2 linked regions of the Saccharomyces cerevisiae S288C genome follow. The protein of the gene in region 2 purifies or fractionates together with the protein of the main gene of each other region. This does not show direct contact. Each region holds a gene or a part of one and is shown on either strand. Other genes may lie near its edges.

Evidence for each region.
Region 1: the proteins of MRPL19 (region 2) and RRG8 purify together in Saccharomyces cerevisiae (affinity purification with mass spectrometry; 2 studies listed by BioGRID). This does not show direct contact.

What each region holds. Positions count from the first base shown.
Region 1 is NC_001148.4:755,546-768,573, reverse strand, and holds RRG8 (Rrg8p), read right to left. Parts: upstream 9,927-13,028; coding exon 9,093-9,926; downstream 1-9,092. Other genes in the region: S-methyl-5-thioribose-1-phosphate isomerase MRI1, read right to left, coding at 1-822; HOB2 (Hob2p), read right to left, coding at 1,080-8,549; RGC1 (Rgc1p), read right to left, coding at 10,446-13,028. UniProt on the Saccharomyces cerevisiae protein: Required for respiratory activity and maintenance and expression of the mitochondrial genome.
Region 2 is NC_001146.8:288,345-295,147, forward strand, and holds MRPL19 (mitochondrial 54S ribosomal protein uL11m MRPL19), read right to left. Parts: upstream 4,326-6,803; coding exon 3,849-4,325; downstream 1-3,848. Other genes in the region: SWT21 (Swt21p), read left to right, coding at 1-723; ubiquitin-specific protease UBP10, read left to right, coding at 1,154-3,532; YNL184C (uncharacterized protein), read right to left, coding at 4,213-4,539; serine/threonine protein kinase NPR1, read right to left, coding at 4,793-6,803.

The sequences.
Region 1 (13,028 bases), on a different chromosome or scaffold from region 2:
TGCTTTGATTGGAATTGGACTAGTTCTAATTCTATACGCGATGGAACTATCAGTAATTAAAGTTGATGGAATCTTATCATAAACTAGCTCGTATGCTGTTAGCCTTGACCCTTGATTATAAGGTCTAGTTTCCAGTGGGAAGACATGGCCCATCCTCGGGCATTTTTCATTGTCCAATCCCGAGTCTGCCTTGTCGGTTTTAGCAAGTGAATCCTTCCACAAAGAACGGATAACACCTAAAGCCGTGCCATATCCAGAGGTTGCTAAGGATCCAGTATTACAAATCGTCAGAACGGCAAATTCGTCCTTGAAACCGTCCTTTTGTAACACGTCAATCAAATACTTAGCTCCATTATCACCCATTTTCATGTTATTCGCCAAATCCTCATCTATCAATTCACAGACGTAATTATATAAACTACCGTCAAAAGCCTTTAGGTCACTTGAGGATTTCAGTATGTTCTTTATCTCTACAAGAGAATTTGATAAATTAACGGCTGTGGGTCTACTACTCAAAAGGAAATCTAGCCTCTTATTTAGCACTGTTTTTGTAGATTCCCAGTTAACTAAAGAATACAGCGTAGCAACATCAGAAGTTGGGTTGTGTTTTATTAATTGTACCTCAGTCAAAACAGATAACGAACCCACAATTGCAATTGCCGGGGCACCTCTCACCTGCATACTTTTGATGACTGAGTACCCATCATCAATTGTGTGAATTGGAACGTATTTAGTAGTATATGGTAAAAGTAATTGATCAAGTACCTTTACCGAAACATTTTCTGGCTCCGATCTATCAAAGACGATGGCTTCCAACGACATTTTTTGTCAGCAGTTTGATAGATCACTTTGTCGGTCGTAGATATTGCTCTTAATCTTTTTATTCTAGCATGCTAAATTGATGAATGGGGAATACTTTGGCCGTGCGCCCCATCATCTCATCTTAGTAAGTGAAAAACCGGAAAAACTAACGCCAAGAAGGCCTGTAAAAAAAAAATCTTACTGATTTTCATTTTAGTATATAATACAATTACTATATAACTGAAGAATATTTACGCTAGACACATGTGTGTGTTTCCTCATTTATTTTTTGAAAACTCACTCGTAACAGGGTAAAATGGCTTTACTCCATTTCCATCATTTTCATTATACGTTTCATCTGAGTTTATTGATCTGATATCTGAAGAGTGCGTGGAGCTATAAAATGAATTATGCCCTTCGACTTCAAGGATATGTGAATTATCACGATTTTGAGAATCTGGACTTAGTAATCGATGTATTTCCATAGAAGTTTTTTTCTTATTCTCTTTTTTATGAGGCAAAAATTTGTTACCAATAATATTTCCCAAATGTTGTAAAACTATTCTTACGACGTCTCTTTTCAAAGCAGTAAAAAATTCTTCCCTCGACCACAGTTTGTTATGGTACTTTAAAACAGGGACTCTAACAATCAGGTTATTAACATCGGTCAAAAGGCTGTGTGAACCCTTATAACACACGGACATTAGAGTTTTTCGGATTATAATAGATTTTACATTGAAAAATGTCCCTGATCTTTTGACCATTTCATTGATGTTATAATCAGGTTGCACAAAAAGTGATGCTGACAATTTTCTATGATCACCCTTATGCTTTTTGATACCTTCTTTGCTCTGGATACTACGCAAGTCCCAAGAGTCAACGTCTTTCGCATCGTACACAGATAAAGAACCGTTAGAAAGACTGTGCCGTAAAACTGGAGACGATGAAAAGAAGGAACTAGTGGAAGAACGTGGTACAAGTTCTGGAGAATTGGGTTCTATGGAAGTTTGTTCTATCTTTGGAAATAGATAATTCATTAGTTTTTCCGATGTTTTGTGATCCATCTTGAAAATCAATGGCTGTAGAGAAACAATCAAATCTTGCAGATCTGAAATACCTCCAACTGATGGCCCCAGGATCCAAAAAATTTCTACCATTGGCGCGTTCTTATTATAGGATGAATTTTCATAAAAGGGGGCCAGCAATTCAGTGTAAACGGGATTTTCTTGCTGGTTGAAACATTGTAAGGAAGAAATGGATACTTTATTACTATTAGTGCCATCGGAAGTTTCTGAACGAATAAATGTAGAGGGCCCCAATCCGATAGTCACGAAAGGAGTTTTACTCTCATCGTACAATTCCCATATCAATTCATCTGTTCCAACTTGCCACCTCAATCTTTTCTGTATTACTCTATTACCACTCCCCATCCGGTCGTAAGTTTTCTTGATTGCCGTCATAAGTAACGTCAACTTCAACGTACTAGTTTGAATATCGAAGGTTAGCTCTTGTCCTGATTTCATAAACAATCTTGGCTCGTGAAGTTTGAGGTATGCTCGCGTATAATAGAGTTCCTTTATTCTTTCTTGTAATGCTGTGACAACAGAGACATCAAGATTTTCCAGGTTATTTCTGACCTCATCAGTAAATAATATCCTGGAAAGTTTCTCAACTTTTTCATCCAATGATGATCCAAAGGAAAGTAAATCTTCTGCGATTGCATATACAGCGCAGTATTGTTGACAGTCCGAGGTCAGAACCAATCCTGGAAATGCAATACGAAATCTCGAATCATAAGAGAATGCAGACGTATCATTTGCACTAAAAAATAGGGGATTGGGAGCGACGTAGGTCAAAAACATTGATCTCCGTTTTAGAAAAACATGCTTATCTAATAAAGACCCGTCAAAGCACATTTCAAGAGGAATCCATGGGGGCCATATATCTGACTCTTTGTCGGAACCATATCCATTTTTATGGAAAAATCTACCTTCAGGACCCTCTAAATCCTTTTTGAACAATGTAAACAACTGAATGTCCTTTGAAACAGCGGAATAGCGAGTTTCAACAATAGTATCGACGTCAACGGGAATTCTTTTTCCTGATTTTCCATACACTTGAACTATATCAATTATTCCCATTTCTATATCCCTAGCAGCTAAAATAACTGCTGCGTTCCTTTCAACGTCCGATTTGATCTGAACCTGAGGGGAGATTAGTCTAAAAAGATAATTATCAACATAATCAAAGTCATCACTCGGAACTTCTCTGATGAGTTTCTCAAAGTGCTCAATAAATTCTGAATTACTGGCTAAATCGTCCTCAAGTATTGAACCATAATCTTCTACAGATGTTCTGACCCCAGTCAACACATTTCCCAGTAATTCTTTTAAAATAGTTACGGATTTATAAGTCACAGCAAACCTCATAGATTTCCTTTCGAAAGCACTGGAAGCGTATTCCAAAAGGTGATGCCTGATTTTATTATCGATTTTTAACTCGATATTATGGACCATGAAACGGTTATCATAGGTGGACTCAACCTGCATAGTAGAGGCTTTTCTCATTGATACAAAAGACTCCACGGTATTGGTCCTCAATAGCGATATTCTATTTTGAATTGGCGGTGCATTTTCCAAATTTACATCAGTATCGGAGAGTGAGCTGGAGCTATCACCATCAGTATTTCCTCCAGGAATAGTCTCCGAGATTTTTAAATCGCTCAAGATGGTGTTGACTGTGTGCAATCTGTGGTTTAATTCAGCTACCTCTGCTTTTAATTCGCGTGCATAGCGCTCCGAATTTCCACTTACCGAACCTCCGCCTTTGTTCGATTGCAATTCGCTTAACGTAATATGTAATAATTTTAGTTGTTCTTCTATTTCTCGTTTTCTTTCAGTTGCTAATTTCTCCTGCGTCAATTCTGGATGATTCTTGCCAATCAGACAATTGTGAGATTCTTCGGTACCAAATGGGTAAGCTAGTACGTAACCATCATCATTTATTTTTCTAAAGTAGGATATTCTAGGAGAGTATAGCAATGGTATTGCTTCTAATTTTAATGGAAGTGAGGAACCAAGCGGCACTTGATTCAAGTCTATATAATCCTCATAATCATACCAATCTGATTCACGCAAGTATTCCACATCTTGAGGCGTAATAGGACGTGATGGCTCGTCTTCAAGTATGCCATCGAGTCCAGAAGTAAGAATTTCCTTAACTGCTTCCTGATCAAACAGAGTTGATAATATCCTAATATCTGCTTCTGCACAATCAATCTCACCCCTAGACATCTTAAACTTCCATACAGGTTTTGACTTATTTAATTTTTGGTTCGTATGGGTCAGTTTAACTCTTTTTTGATGCAAATCAATTTTCAGTGAATCAAACCTCCCTTTCAATCCAGTAAAAGTTATTTTGCGGTCTTTTTCAAGATCATATTGAGTAGTAATATGCCGATAAATATGCGTAACCATTAGCCGTTTTAAATGTAGCTGATAAGCTATTGTAAATAATGAGCGACCAAACTTTGTCTTGTTTTGAAGTACATCCGTAAATAACCGTCCTTGCCTAATAGGACCAGATGTATATGTATGAAATAAATTCCACCACTTAAAGAAATGTGTTAAAGCGTAAGGTGCGAGATAGAGACTATTTATGGATCCGTGCTCAGAAGAATAGACACCAAATGACATGTGGATAAAAGATGTTCTAAATCCTTTGTATGTATCATGGTGATCCAAATCTGCGACTCCATCTGGATTCATCAGCTGTATTTCATAATGTGGCCTATTTGGAAGGAACCTCTCTTCGTCACCAGCCTTAGATATATCGCCTTGTTCAAAAAGTAAACCTAATGTCCAAATTACTCTTCCATCGAGCTTCATAAAGACTTTATCAAATTTACTAACTTTGGCAAAGTCTGGCACTGCCAACTGAAACCTTTGGGATTCAATTTTTAAAAACTCTTTAGGATCCGTGGAGTTATGAACGTAAATTGTGGTGCCACCAGACCAGCAGAACGCCAGACCCGCACCATCATCTGTAATCTTATAAGGATCATGTGAACCTTTAATATTTAAGTGGATCTCACTTTCCTCTGAAAACTCGTATATCCACTTCCCATGCACTAAATATCTGAATTTGTCCCAAAATCCTAGCTTTTTGGACGGATCGATGAGAGGTTTGGTTAAAAAATCAAACCAAAGCATCAAAGACTCATAACCGGGTTGCAGAGATTTCCCCCATGTTATTCTGGCAGATGAAGAAGATGTAACCATTGACCTAATATTGAAATATGTTTTGACTGAATTAATTGTACGAATGATGTGCAAACCATATATTGTATTGGCGTCATTATAGGGGCTTCTTTGGGCAGAGCTGACAAAAGGAACATAAACAGTATGAAGCGCGCAAGGTGCTGGCATCTTTTCAGCAAATACAACATCACCTGTTGTAAATGTGTCGGGAAATGATATAGCAGGTATTGGATAATCTCTCAGACGCAACTCCCATAACGCGCTTTTGATTTTGAGGCCAAGAATAATTAGCAAAGTGTACTCCGTAGATTTTGGAACTTTTTTTCCATACTGGTAAACAAAATCCATATAATTGTCTAAAGGGAAGGAAGGACTGCCTAGTTTAAAATCCAAATCTTTTACGACGAGGTTAGCAACAGTACTGGTTTTCTGTCTAGTAAACAAGTGGTATTTCGTACCAAGCTCTTCACGGCTGATAACCCGATAAGGCATACCATAAAAAGAAAGTTTTGCTTTCCTGTATCTGGCAATCCATGACGTTGAAAAGTTTTCTAACAACCTGAGATAGGCCTTTTGCTCATATTCTTGATCATTCGCATAAAACTCTGGGAAAAAACTTTGTCCACGGGAGGTATCATAGAGCGACCTTAAACGTACATTCATGTCCTCATATGTTGATAGCTTTTCCTTGAACTCTTCAAGCTTCTTTAACCTCTCACGTTGTTCCAAAACACCAACTTTCAAAATTAATCCTAACTCCTGCTCAAAAGGATCTTCTTCAATATCAATTAGAAAATCCTGGCAACAAATATGTAAATTTGGAACTTTTTTCGGAAACTGTTGCTGAGGGTATAATCGCTTAAATTCATTCAAATTGGAAAATGCCAATTTAATTTGCTTAAACGATTTATACAACGTGACTATGTTATCCGTTATCATGTAAAATCTAAAATGATATTCGGCATGAAAATGAATCAATGAGGTGTTTATAACAGCGGATTTCTTGCAGATCAACTCTTCAGTGTCTAGCTCAAAGTCATTAATATTTAGCAAGGAAACATAAACCTTAATATGCTTCACATAAACCGATACCACGTACGCTGACAAAGATGCAATTGTAAGATTTTTAGTGGAACTTGAAAGTCCAATCCTCTCGAATATTAGGAGTACCTCTGTATTATGAGGAAGCGTTAGCTCTATAATCATCTTTCCTATATCTACTCTTAATCTATCGAGAACATTGACAGATTTTACACTGCTCACTGAATTTCGGCTCAATTTTGAATTAGGACGAAATTTTATCCATATACTCCGAATATAAAACCACAACCAGATAATATTTACATCCATCTTAAATTTAATCTTGGGAAGTGAAAAATGAATTTCATCTGAGTCGTTAAAACTCAATAACAAATTGGTAAATTGAATAATAACCTCAGGAGAGGGCTTATACGTAGTGCCATCCATGAAACGATATACGGATGCATCAATAATAGTGAAGTTTTTCTCCTGGCTGTCCGCTAACAATATTGATTCTGTAAAAACAACTTTGGCGCCTCTAGTTACGTCAGATAAGTTAAAATTCTCAGCTTCCACAGGATCCAAATTTTTCGGAAGAAACCCAGCGACCAGTAACGAACATGAAATATCCTTCATTCTAAGTTTCAATGACCAGTTAAATGTTTTCTTGGCTTCATTTAGGTCCCCCAATTTTCCACCATTCGCTTTATGAGCCGCATTCCTTTTTGTTCTGCTAGATATTAGCAAGTAAATTTTGTCAAAGGCGCGACTTAAAGTATGCAAAACTTCAATGTTCTCAAGACTAACGTACGAATGTCTTAGTGTAGACTGAACGATCAATTTAGAATTTGAAAATTCATCCAGAAATGTGTCTAATCTTTCAAAGCCACAGACTGGTATAGACACTGGGTTAGCGTCCTGCTCTGTTGGAATTCTCAGGTAAGAGAGTGATGTACCCACAATTTTAATATAGTTAGATAATTGATCAGATACTAGGGCTGTCTTCGCAAATGGCCAATCCGGACGTATTTGCATTACTTGTCCCTTTTTAGGAGTCATAGACAAGTTGTTACGGCTAAAGAGAGCATGTGTGCTGAAGACCTTAAACGTCACATTCTCCTCATCTGATATATGCAGCCTTGAAATAAAATTCGACATTAGTAGTTCAAAGTTAAAACTGGGCAATCGATCAATATCTAAATCTAAAATATTTAATGATCTGTCGTTTGTGTTAGTACATGATGAGGTCTCAGGGCTATCGAATTTGTCCACTAAATGAAGAACTTCCAGTACTTGATGTATAGTGAGGAATACTGAAGGATTTATAATGTTCAAAATGGAAGATACCTTCGTTCTCCGTAAAGGTACATTGTCAAGTAAAAATAGTAAAATATCTGACGTCAGTATGACATTTCCAAATGGAATTCTAACTGCTGTATTACCATCGATATCTACTACAACAGCATTTGCAGAAAGTGATAGTTCAAAATCGCCCCATGTGGGCTTATTTAAGGGTAAAAGTTCCAAAGCGGAGACATTATTTAGAATGGAGATTGATTCCAAGTAAAGTTGAGCACTTGATATGCGAATTGTAAACTTTTTTTTGTAAATCAACTTTACATTTTCTACCTTAAGGTCCAGAATGTTCAAAGTTTTCAGTGGGTAGTGAAAAGGCTTTAGCATCTTACGATATGAAGTGAGCATTTCCGCATCATCACCAGCAGAAAAAGGCTCAACAGGCTCCGAATGCAAATTCTTCCCTTTCTTCTCTGGAAGATGCCAACAAACATCACTTATTTTGAGACTTGATTTCCAATTTTTTAGTATAACTTTTGTGCAGTTGCTGCCTGTATCATCTTCCTTTCCAATTTTACAGACCATAAAAAAACCAGTATGGTTCAAAGTATCTTTCGTTTCAGGATGGGTAAAATCATGCAAAAATGCCTCTAACTTTATGGTATCATCGTGTGGGTGTGATATCGTTATGGATCCGATATTTAATTTATATTGTTTTCCATTAGGCACTGTAAGAGCTAAAGTATGAAAGAAAGTGGAAAATGAGAACACAAGTTTCAAAATTGATAGGACTCGCCTGTTAATTACAAAGGTAAAAGTTTGATCCCGCGGATTGAAATATGTTCTGGAGTCTTTAGTTGAATGTGCAGTGATATGGCTGTCCTTCCCAAATAACTTCAAATCAACATTATGAAACACAATTCCGGGTTTCCAACCTATTCGCAAGGTTATCTTGCCAATATATATTTGAGCAAAATCAGTTAAGATAAACGCTCGTCTTATTGACGTACCAAAAAAGTATCCAAATGAAATTTTTCGTATTGTGGAATGGCGCAGCATCAATATCCATGACATGAGAATACTAGCGATTTTCTGAATTGATATAATAAAAAGCATAAAGCCTAATAATAGTTTAGACACATCCCTTATTTGAGACCACGGTAACATAGACATTGTAGATTTTTTTTCTTGCAATAAACAGGATACTCCAGCTACTAGATATTATGGATGACAAGCCTACTCGAGAAATTGATCAGCAAAACTAAATTGAATGCTTAGCTTTTAAATGTAAGCCTTTTCGTGGGAAAAAGTGTATGATTTAGTTTTCAAAGAAGTACCTTCTATAATGGTAAATTATTGGTTGTGCTCTTGAATATAATGCATGTGTATGCCCTTGAAGTTTTTAATACAAAGCCACTAGTGCAAACAAATCAACAAATCTATTTACCCTTAATGTTCCTCTTTATCAATCATACAGCCTTGCAGATGGATGGTAAGTGATGGACTATAGAACACCTCAGAGATATTTTACGTAGATGTGCGGGATTAAGGGTTCTGAATTCTCCTGCCCGAGGCGCCCAAATTTTTCATTTTCGGATTGCAAAATGATGCCATTCGCTGACAGCCAGTTTTGTATTCATTGAATAAGAATAATGGCAAATTCAGAGAGACAATTCCAGCGATATATCCCGCTTTCCTTCCTTTTTTCTTCCGCAATCAGTTAACTGAATGAAACAATAATGTACTATAAAGGTGTTTGATGAGATCCTTGTCATTGTCGGCATCCAGGTAAATTCCATTAGTAACTGCATCTTTACTCACGATAGCTTCTAGAGTTGGCTCGTGGAGATAACCAAGGTTAAAGACAGACTGTGTAATTGGTAGCCCTTTACCATGACTAACTACTTGTATTTCAATCGGGGGTGTTTTTCTCTTGTCACAAATGAGTAAAACACGATTTATCGAAGAAGGTCCAACATTCGGTATCACTGAAAGTCTTGCTTTTATAAATGCGTGCAAGTTAGCATTGTATTCCGTTATAAATGTAGAGGAATCAACTTCTAGGCTCTTTGGAGTTGATGTTTGCAATACCGAGATTGGGAACCATGACGTCGCAGCCGCCAAGTTGTCTTGTACAATGGAGGCTGAATTCAATACGTACGAGCTTTTGTATGATTTGGAATAATCTAGTGTAGGTACCAGTTTTAGTTTATCTTTATCAGCATGCTGATCTTTGCCAGTTGATGGTACCACTTTCAATGGAATTAGTAATTCTCTACACGATTTTAATTTTGAGATTTTTTCTGCTCTCATTGGAGAAGCTAAAAGCCTACCATATAAGTTATTTTTTAAATTGAAATTTTCCAAATGGAACTGCCCCACCATTTCCTCTTCATCTTTGAAATAGAGCTTCTTGCGCTTATCCGACCATTTCTCGAAGTTTGTAATGAGCGGAGAAACATCTTTGACTCGTTGGGCACAGTTTTTATTAATGACTCTCGTTGGACAATCTATGAGTAACTTCTTATATGCCGATTTAGGTAAACCCATATTTGATTTTGAGAGGTTCCCAGGAGAATTCACAACAAAATATTATTCGAAGGCTCCTATCGTCATCATGTACCGTGGCGCATTGCCAACCTGTCTTATAGAAAGGCCGATGTCGTAAGCGGACCGGAAAACTGGAGATGAACAGGCATTGCCAATCCTACCGCCACTGTAAAAAACAAGTAAGAAAAAGATAATTATGGACGCTGGCTTTCATTTTAAAATAACATCAAGTTCAGATGATACTTCTGAAAAATACCCAATCAGGAATCTATTTTTATTTGGTAGAAGACTACTTTGTTTACTTATAAAAACATGATAACTATCTAAGAATATATGAACTGATTGCGTTTAACTTAACTTTTCCATTTTGTCTTAATCTTCTTCGTTTCCGGTAGTTAATGGGTTTGTATTTTCAGCAGGAACATGACCCAGGACTTTCTTGTTGCTTATTACACTTATCAAGGAACCAAATGACATGCTCTTCATCTGTGCAGTCTTATTGGACAGGTTTTCATAGTGTCACTTACTTGACGCGGATGTAGCAGGTACAGTATTAGTACTTCCCTCCTTGCGCGAGTGAAGAGACTTATCATTCGATACAGTAGATGTTAGTGGGACGTTTTCCGCACTATATGTCTTTTTCAAACTGCTATAAGGAGCTTCAACACCTTTAGATGTAAGCGGTTCCTTCAACGTTAGACGTGATTGTGAGGCGCCCTTCTCATTGCCGTAGATCAATCGTGAGTCATTACCTTCTTTCCTTGGACCACATTGATGGGGAATATGACAAGCTGAACTTTTGCGAGAGCCACTGCAGTTTTGAGTTCTGTTTTCCTCGAACAATGGAGACTCCATCTCAAAAGGTGAAAGATCTGACCCTCGTCTTGCTTCCGAATTGCAATTCAATGGTATTCCAAAATATCCGTTTGCATTACCATCCAATGCTAGACAACTGGGTGAAACACCTGGTAAGTTCATTAATGGCGAAGGATAAAAATCAACCCGTTGGTTGTGAATGGATGCAACACTGGAGGCACGAGACGATTTATGACTACTATCTGAATACGCGCTTGCCGGAATAATGGCTTCATCCCCATGATTACTAACAGCTATTTGAGGTACCTCTCCGGGAGCCGATGCTTTTCGCGAAGAGGATGCCATTAAGTTATCTGCTGACCGGTTGTAAAGCATACCTTCCCCAGTATAAGGTGAATAAGGCGATTTGCAAGGGGTTCTAATTGTGTAACTCATACCATTTTGTGGAGCACTGTTTTTCGTTTCTCCCACTATGGCCAGATTACCATTTTCATCAATGGCTGGTGTATTGACTTTTGACCTGTATACGGAATTCATAGCGCCTGCATTCATATTTGCGCTTTTTGGGATGTCTATATAACGAGGACGATTTGCCCTCTTCCTAGTGTTTAACGTGGTAACAGAGGAAGATGGCGTTACTTTTTCAGAAAGGTTAACAAAACTGTCTACTGGAGTGATATATGTACTGTTTTTGGACCTTTGAGAGCTCTTTCCATTATTATGGTTTCTACTTTTCAGAATCTTTTCTTCAATGAAGTTCGACCTCTCCTGAGTAGAATTGAAACTTGTAAGCGCTTTTATGTCCTGAACCCATTTCTTGAAATTTTTTGATTCCTCTGGAGTTGGTTCAAGACTTGCGGAAAATATTTTAAACGTCCATTCAACGCGCTTCTCGCAAATTGACTTCTTATTGATGTTAGCTTCTTCTTTAGCCTTTTTTTGTTCCTTGGGCACGGAAGAACTCTTTAGAAATTTCGGAACGGACACCATCGAGAGAGCTGAAGGCGTACGTTGATGTTTGCCCTTATTTGAAGCAAGCGTCTTTGTTGGACATGCCAAATCTGAGGTCGTGCTTGATTCTTTTGTACATGTGTCCTCTGGTGAATGATAACTAGCATACCCTTGTAAAACAAAAGTTGAGTCAGTACTATCCTTTAATGAGCAATCATTTAAAGACAAACTAGAGATAGGATATAGATTCGAAGAACTCAAACCCTTTCTTCTCTTCGTCAGTTTCGGATCCTGTGTCCCTTTGCTCGATGGGTGACTGCCAGCGTTAGTCCCATCCTTATTCACACGGCTAATGTCTGATTGTTCAACAACAGGTTTATTTTTTGAACGGGGAGACTTGCTGTCTAGAAAGAAATCGCTGCTTTTGAATTCGTGAAGATAATTTGTAGTCAACACAAAATAACCTTTAGTAAAACTTTTAGAAGACTCTGTTTTCTTCAGTAGATATCCTACTCTAATGCATTTGGCCAGCGGCGATTTCATGTTAGGATAAACAATATCAGATAATCTTCTGGGTTGCGGTGGCGGGTCTGTCGATTTTAAATTCATCAGACAGGTAGGATGATGAGAGACAAAATTATCCCACTCTACAGCCGGTGGTCTAGATAGAATACCTTGCTGCAATTCATGGCACAAATTTTTGATCATTAATCGTGCTTCTGAATCAATTAACGCTGAGTAGCGCTGTAATGCGGATTGAATTTTAGAATATACTATTTTCTCCAGTTGTAGTGCTGCTGATTGTAAATTCAGAAAAGCTTCTCGAAGATAGTTTTCTTCGAGTAATTGTCTTTTCAGCTGCAAATCTAGTTGTAATTTCAAAAGGTATGGATCGTGTTTTGGTTTTAATTTTTCACCTTGCTTATCGCCCGAAGTGGATGCTTCATCTAATAACTTCACTGAAGCAATATATTTATTCAGAAGCCTGCTTGTTATTTTGATATGCTCGCCTATGTTAGTCTTGAAATCTCCATTTAATTCTTTAATTTCTTTCATCTTTGTGGTCAAATCCTTACGCAAGTCGGTCAATTTGGGTATAATATATGCCAAGATTTCCTTAGAGATCTTATATTGTTGACTACCCAAAGATAAATGGTACTTCTTCAAAATCACTTGAATATCTTGAATGGATCCTGACCCAAATTTCATGAAGCCAGAAGAAGCTGAAGCTACCTCTTCCGAAGGTACTGATTGGATTGACTGCGGCTGTTCCACATCTGTGTCGTACTTGCTGTCCAATTTTTGAGCGGCCAATGGGACAGGCTGAGGTTTCTT
Region 2 (6,803 bases):
ACTGTATACAGTGTGAAAATCGATGTTGAGTCTCGTGTATACACTGGCTCATGCCGTAACAAAGTGGCGATATACGACAAGAGCAGACGAGATGCCGTGTGGATGAACCAGAGTACCAAAAAAGCAAGCAAGGGAAGACAAAGCATTATATCTTGCTTTGAAGAGCAACCAATGGGAGGGCAAGCTCTCTCAAGAGGATCTCTATTGTGTGGCAGTTATGCGAATGAAATGTTTCAGGTAGACTGCCGTCATCAACGACTAGAGAGACTGAACTACACCCGCACAGTTGCAGGTGGGATTGTACAAATCCTTACAAGCGATAACGGGCGTTACGTGTACGTTGTCAGACGCAACAGTGACGCGATTAGTATTTACGATCGGCGAAACCTGCAGCACGAGCTTAACGTATTGCGCCTACCGTTTCGGATCCACCACAACTCTGCAAAGTTGAAGGCATATATAGATACGGCTTACGGACTAAGTATGGGGACGCCGCAGGGAACAATATTGAACTGGGGTCGAGACCTTGTGGAATTTGGAGGTGTTCCCTCACACAATAGTGTTGAAGACCCACTAATCACGTCTATCCCGCCAGAGTCAGAGTGGCGCACTAACCTTGATTCTACTATTCCTGCCACGGTAGTGAAGAATTGTCCTGGGGATCCCGAACTGTTCGCCCTATCTCATGGGGGCACAATTTCATTATGCAGGTTCGGCGGCTAAAAACGGCAAACCCGTATTCGTGTATCACCCGGCCAGCTTTCTCCGATGAACGCGCACAAGTAAGAAGTTAAATTGCATCCCCCAGACACCACCTCTTTTGTTCACTTCTTGCCTCATGCCGTCAAAAAATTTTTTTCGCATCGAAAAAAATCCCCAAAAGAAAAGAAAAAAGTTCTTATTTTTATATAGTGCCACCATCGGGAAAAACTTCCCTGTAAAGCATTAACAGAGTCTTCCATCCCCGCTTCTGTCCTTTATTTGTTTCATAGAAGCTATTAAGCATCATATACTGCACACAGGAGCATGCATAGTGTCTGAAGCCTCTTTTGTTCTGTACTGCACATAATATTTCATAGAAAAACTAACGGAAAGAATCTACAACTCATAGTATCTGTAAATCCGTCCTATTGTCATATCACAATCACAGACTATGACCACTCAAGAATCGATCAAACCTTTGGTAGATAGAATCCTATCAAATCCCCTGCAGTTCAATGCTGCAATGATCTCTAACAAATCGAATAATAATGATACTTCCGCCGCGCCGGAAAATAGCTCGTATATTGTGATAGGAAAACAGCATAATAACAATAGTAATAGCACAGCTATTGCTGCAACGGCCGAATCCAAGCAAATAAAAGAAAATAACTTGATAGACAGGCCAAACGGAAAGAAAACCAACACTGTTCCTAAATCTATGGCTGAAGCTTTATTGTTGTATACTTCTAAAAATGATAAAGATGCTGCAGATGCTACTGGTGCCAAGAAGTCAGCGGAGCTTTCTACGGAGCTTTCTACGGAGCCTCCTTCCTCTTCTTCGGAAGATGACAAAGTAGGAAAAGAGGAAGAGGAAGAGGGTGAAATATTTCATGAGGCAAGAGACTATGTAGAACCCCGAAAAGCTAGTTTGAAGGAACGCGACAACGCAGATAAGGGCGATGGTGAAGACATCGGCGAAGACATCGGTGAAGACATCGGTGAAGACATCGGTGAAGACATTGGTGAAGACATTGGTGAAAACTTGGGTTCTCCATTAGCAACCATTGATGATTCATCTAATGAGAATGAAAAGGAAAAAAGAAAGGAACTGTCTACAAGCATTAGCAGTGATGACGAAATAGAAGACGACGAGGATGAGGATGACATGGATTATGATTCTAGTGCTATGGAAAAAGAGCTCCCTGAAGAAGAGGAGAACGATTCCAGCTCCAAAATTTCTGAAGGCGAAAAAAAGAGTTTATATCAAGATTTAATGGAAAATAGTACAGTGGAAGTAAATCGGTACGAACCAGTAAACAACACCAAAGAAAATGGAAACAGGAATCCAAAGGGAGAGGAGGAGGAAGAAGAGGAAGAAGAGCTGAAACATAAATCTAGGTCAATCACCCCTCCGGTTACAATATCAAATCTATCAAACTTTTACCAATTCAATGAAAATATCAATGATCGTGGTTCTTTAAACTCTACTAGAATTGTTAAAAATTGGGGCGACAAATTCACCAATTTGAAGCCTCGTGGCCTTTTGAATCATGGTGTTACTTGTTACACAAATGCTGCTGTACAGGCTATGTTACACATTCCTTCGATACAACATTATCTTTTTGATATACTAATGGGGAAATACGATAGCACCATCTCAAAAAATTCCGTTTCCTATACTTTAGCTGAAACAAGTAAAAAAATGTGGTTACCGGTCTCAAAAAACCCTAGAAAGAACGTTTCAGCTTCCTACATTAATCCAAAACATTTGATTTCCAGATTGGATGACATTAATTGTATGATGAGCGAATGGCAGCAGGAAGATTCACATGAGTACTTCATGTCTCTGATGTCAAGATTACAGGAAGATTCTGTTCCCAAGGGTCATAAACTTATAGAATCGATAATATATGACATATTCGGTGGTCTTTTAAAGCAGATCGTTACTTGCAAATCTTGTGGCAGTATATCTAAAACAGAACAACCATTTTACGATTTATCGTTGCACTTGAAAGGGAAGAAAAAACTTGATCCAAATTCTGACCTGTCGAGTGATAGCATTAACGGCACTTCAGCCACCACTTCTACCACTACCTCCAATGCTGCCACAAAACCATCTCTTTCATCCTCTTCATCTGTCAATTTAAACAATGGCTCACCATTTGCCGCTGCCAGTGATTTAAGTTCAGCCAACCGCAGATTTTCTATTGAAAAATCAATTAAAGATTTCTTCAATCCCGAATTAATCAAGGTTGACAAGGAGCAAAAGGGTTACGTTTGTGAGAAGTGTCACAAGACCACGAACGCCGTGAAGCATAGTTCAATATTAAGGGCTCCTGAAACTTTACTTGTGCATCTGAAAAAATTCAGATTCAATGGCACGTCCTCATCAAAAATGAAGCAAGCTGTTTCTTATCCTATGTTTTTAGATTTGACGGAATATTGTGAGAGTAAAGAGCTACCTGTCAAATACCAACTATTAAGCGTGGTGGTTCATGAGGGCCGCTCCCTTTCTTCAGGTCACTACATTGCCCACTGCAAGCAACCAGACGGTAGCTGGGCCACTTACGACGACGAGTATATTAATATAATATCTGAAAGGGACGTTTTAAAGGAACCCAACGCATATTATCTCCTATACACGAGGCTAACTCCAAAATCGGTTCCATTGCCATTGGCGAAATCTGCCATGGCCACTGGTAATGTTACCTCTAAATCCAAACAGGAACAGGCTGTTAACGAACCAAATAACCGCCCATTGAAGATTAATAGCAAGAAAAATAACAGAAAAAAATGGAAAAAAAATAAAAAAAGGAAGTTCACCAAATGAAAAAACTCGATATTCCTGGATTTTCCTCTTTTCATAGGCATTTTTATTAGCATTTCATTTTTATTATACCAAATCAATATATACATATAAATATCCGGTCTTTATTGACTTATAAAACAACTCTCAGTATACAGAGTTGGAGAAGCGTTTACTCAGAATAGCTTCAGTACTACCGAGCTTTGCTAACATAACGGGAGAAAGAGAATTTAAAACTTATATACATATTTACAGAATAGATCAGTAGAAAGAAGAAGGAAGGTCTGTTGAAAATTTCTCGAAATTGACGGTACTTTTTTGTCTTTTCACTACTTACAGATCAAGGTACAACCTTAATACCCATACTTTTTGCAACGCCAACTATTGATTTAACAATACCTTCCATCTCCAATAAACTATGCCTTTCATCACTCTTTTTTATCTTGGCTATTTCGTAAACGTGCTTCAGCGATAACTCTCCTAAAGCACGGGTTGGTCCCTTGGCAGGTGCACTGCCTAACATTGTCCCCACATTCGGTTGTCCATGTCCCTTGTCCATTTTAAGAGCTTTTAGCAGCAAATATCCGGTTGGTGGAGATTTCATTTCAAACGTAAATGTTCTATCAGGTTTTATTGTGATTAATACTGGAACCGGTACACCTGGCTGATAGTTTGCTGATCTTGCATTAAATTCCTTACAAAAGTCAATGGCTTTTATACCCTTGGAGCCCAATGCGGGCCCCACGGGAGGTGATGGTGCCGCTTGGCCTGCTCCTACTATTAGCTTTACTATCACGTTTTTTGCTGCCTGTGACATTATGGAGACTAATAGTTCCTCTATGGTATTCGAGAGTTCGAAAGTACAACAAACAGAAATAAATACAGAAGGTTACGCTGTCGATTTGAATGTTCACGCTTTTTTTCCTTCTTATGAGTTGTAGATTTACTGCACTTTCTAAAGCTTCTTTGCTGTGAAATTTTAGAAAAGGGAATTGTCGCCTTGGTAAGACAATTAATGTTACCCGCTTCATTATTATTAATTAGTGGCGCGATATTTTAACGAACTTTTCCATTAATTATTATCATACTAAGCTTTTACATTTTTCTGATAAAATAGTAGATTATGAACAGGAGGTCAATCTATTTAGGCTTCTATAGAACGGTAAAATATGAAATTAGTTTAACAGAAGTAAATATGACATTGTATTTTAACATATACTCAAATAGGATAAAAAAAGGTTATATACAAATGCTTGGAAAAGAAATAAAAGTGGGGACGCTTATTTATTGATTATTTTGCTTTTTCTTTTTCTTTTCTAGGCCTGCAATATGTGCTTCACTTTGATCCACTTGTGTGTGATGATGGTCTTCTCCTCTAACCACTTTGAACGATAATCCATCTTCAACCAAGTGGCACATATCAATGCTACGGATCCAAGGATCTTCCATGATTTCTTCGATATTTCCTCTGCATGCGGGCGCCAAATCAATCATACGTCCAACAATATGCTGAGTCTCTTCTGGTAATGAGTGCAACAATCTTTGTGGCCCGATATTAACATTATTAGGATCTGATACATTATTGGAAGAGCTTTCGGGTTTTTTCTTTTCTGTTGAGTGCGATTCATCGTAGGAAGGTGGATCAGGAGTTCTTGTAACCAAGCTACTTAAGGAGTCGCAATCACGTCCGGAACAAAATAGTTTGAATGAATTGTCCCTTAATTTCGGAATTTTCCATGGAAATTTCTTCAGTATCATACATGCAAAAATGATTGCAGAAGACCAAATATCTACGGGACGTGGGTCATACTTCGCAAATATACAGACTTCAGGTGCTAAATATGGATCACTTCCAACAATTCCACTTGCTTCCACAAGATTTTTTGAGAATGGATATGAAAATACCACAGCAGCACCAAAATCGATTAATTTTACAATACCTTTTTCGTTTATAACACAATTATCTAGCTTTAGATCTCTATGAGCTAAGCCGATACTATGCAAATATTGTACACCAGTAAGTATTTGTTTGAAGCAACAACAAATCTCTTCATAGGACATTTTATTACTCATTACAATAGCAAATAAATCGTATTCACAATATTCCATAACTTGGAGAATTCTATCATTTTCATACACGATTTCAATTGTTTCAATGATATTGGGATGATTCAAAGTTGTACCAATACAGTATTCTGATGTAATTTTCTTGACATAATCTCTTTTGGATTCATTTTCAAATTTAGTTCTAAACTCCTTCACTGCAAATATTTTGTTATCTGAAATTCTTTGAGCTAATTTGACAGAACCTCCTGCTCCAGCGCCTAAATCGGCACCGGTTTTGATGTACCTTTTTGAGAACGGAATTCCTGAACCGCCGTGACTATGAGAATAAATAGTATCTCCATTTCCGTTATAACTAGTGGAATATGAGTTATTCCCTGCGGCAAAATGAGACGATGAATGAGAGTGTGACGGAACGGCAATTCCGCTAGAAAGAGGTGATCCGTTCGGGATCACGTTGTTACTATTCGAGGAAAGGTTACTGTTAGAACTTTTTTTGAAGAACCTCTTTAAATCACCGATGGAAGAATGTTGTGACCTTGGAACACTTTGACTTGGAGGTAAGTGGTCATGTACAGATGAGGGGGAACCGTAAAAGTTATCAGTATAGGAACCAGTTGGCTGTCTTGATGCAGAATATATGCTGCTTTGTCTTGCGCGGATAGGCTTCGGGATAGGCGTCGAACCATTGGTAACATTGGGATTCTTAATGTTTGGAGAAGGACCATTGGAATTGGCAGAAAAAGACATGCCTGCAGAGTTAGAATTTGAAGATTCTTTTGAGTTTTTGGAAAAGAAAAAATTCCCAAGCTGTGAAGAGAATGAACCTGAACGGGATATAGATCTTGATTGAGTGGCATTTGCATTATTACTATCCATCGATGCTTTTTGGAGTTTTTGTTTGGAGATAACAAAACGTGGTTCCACGCTATCTACTTTTGGGGAGGATATAACATTTGAATCGATTGCAGAAATATTATTGGGCATACCGCCTGCATATGTTTCGAGCCACGAAGAAGACAAAGAGGAGCTGTTGCTATTCGAGCTATTGTTATCTTTGTTAGAATTTGGCACGGAGTAAGGTATACTTGATGATAAAGAAGGAATGGCCCTTCCTGAAGTATGTGACGTGGTAGATAATCTACTTGTGATTCTGTTCTGTGCAGCAAAAGAACCACCATGTGAGGAAAGTCCTGCAGTACCTTGATCGTTTATTAAGGATCCAAATCTA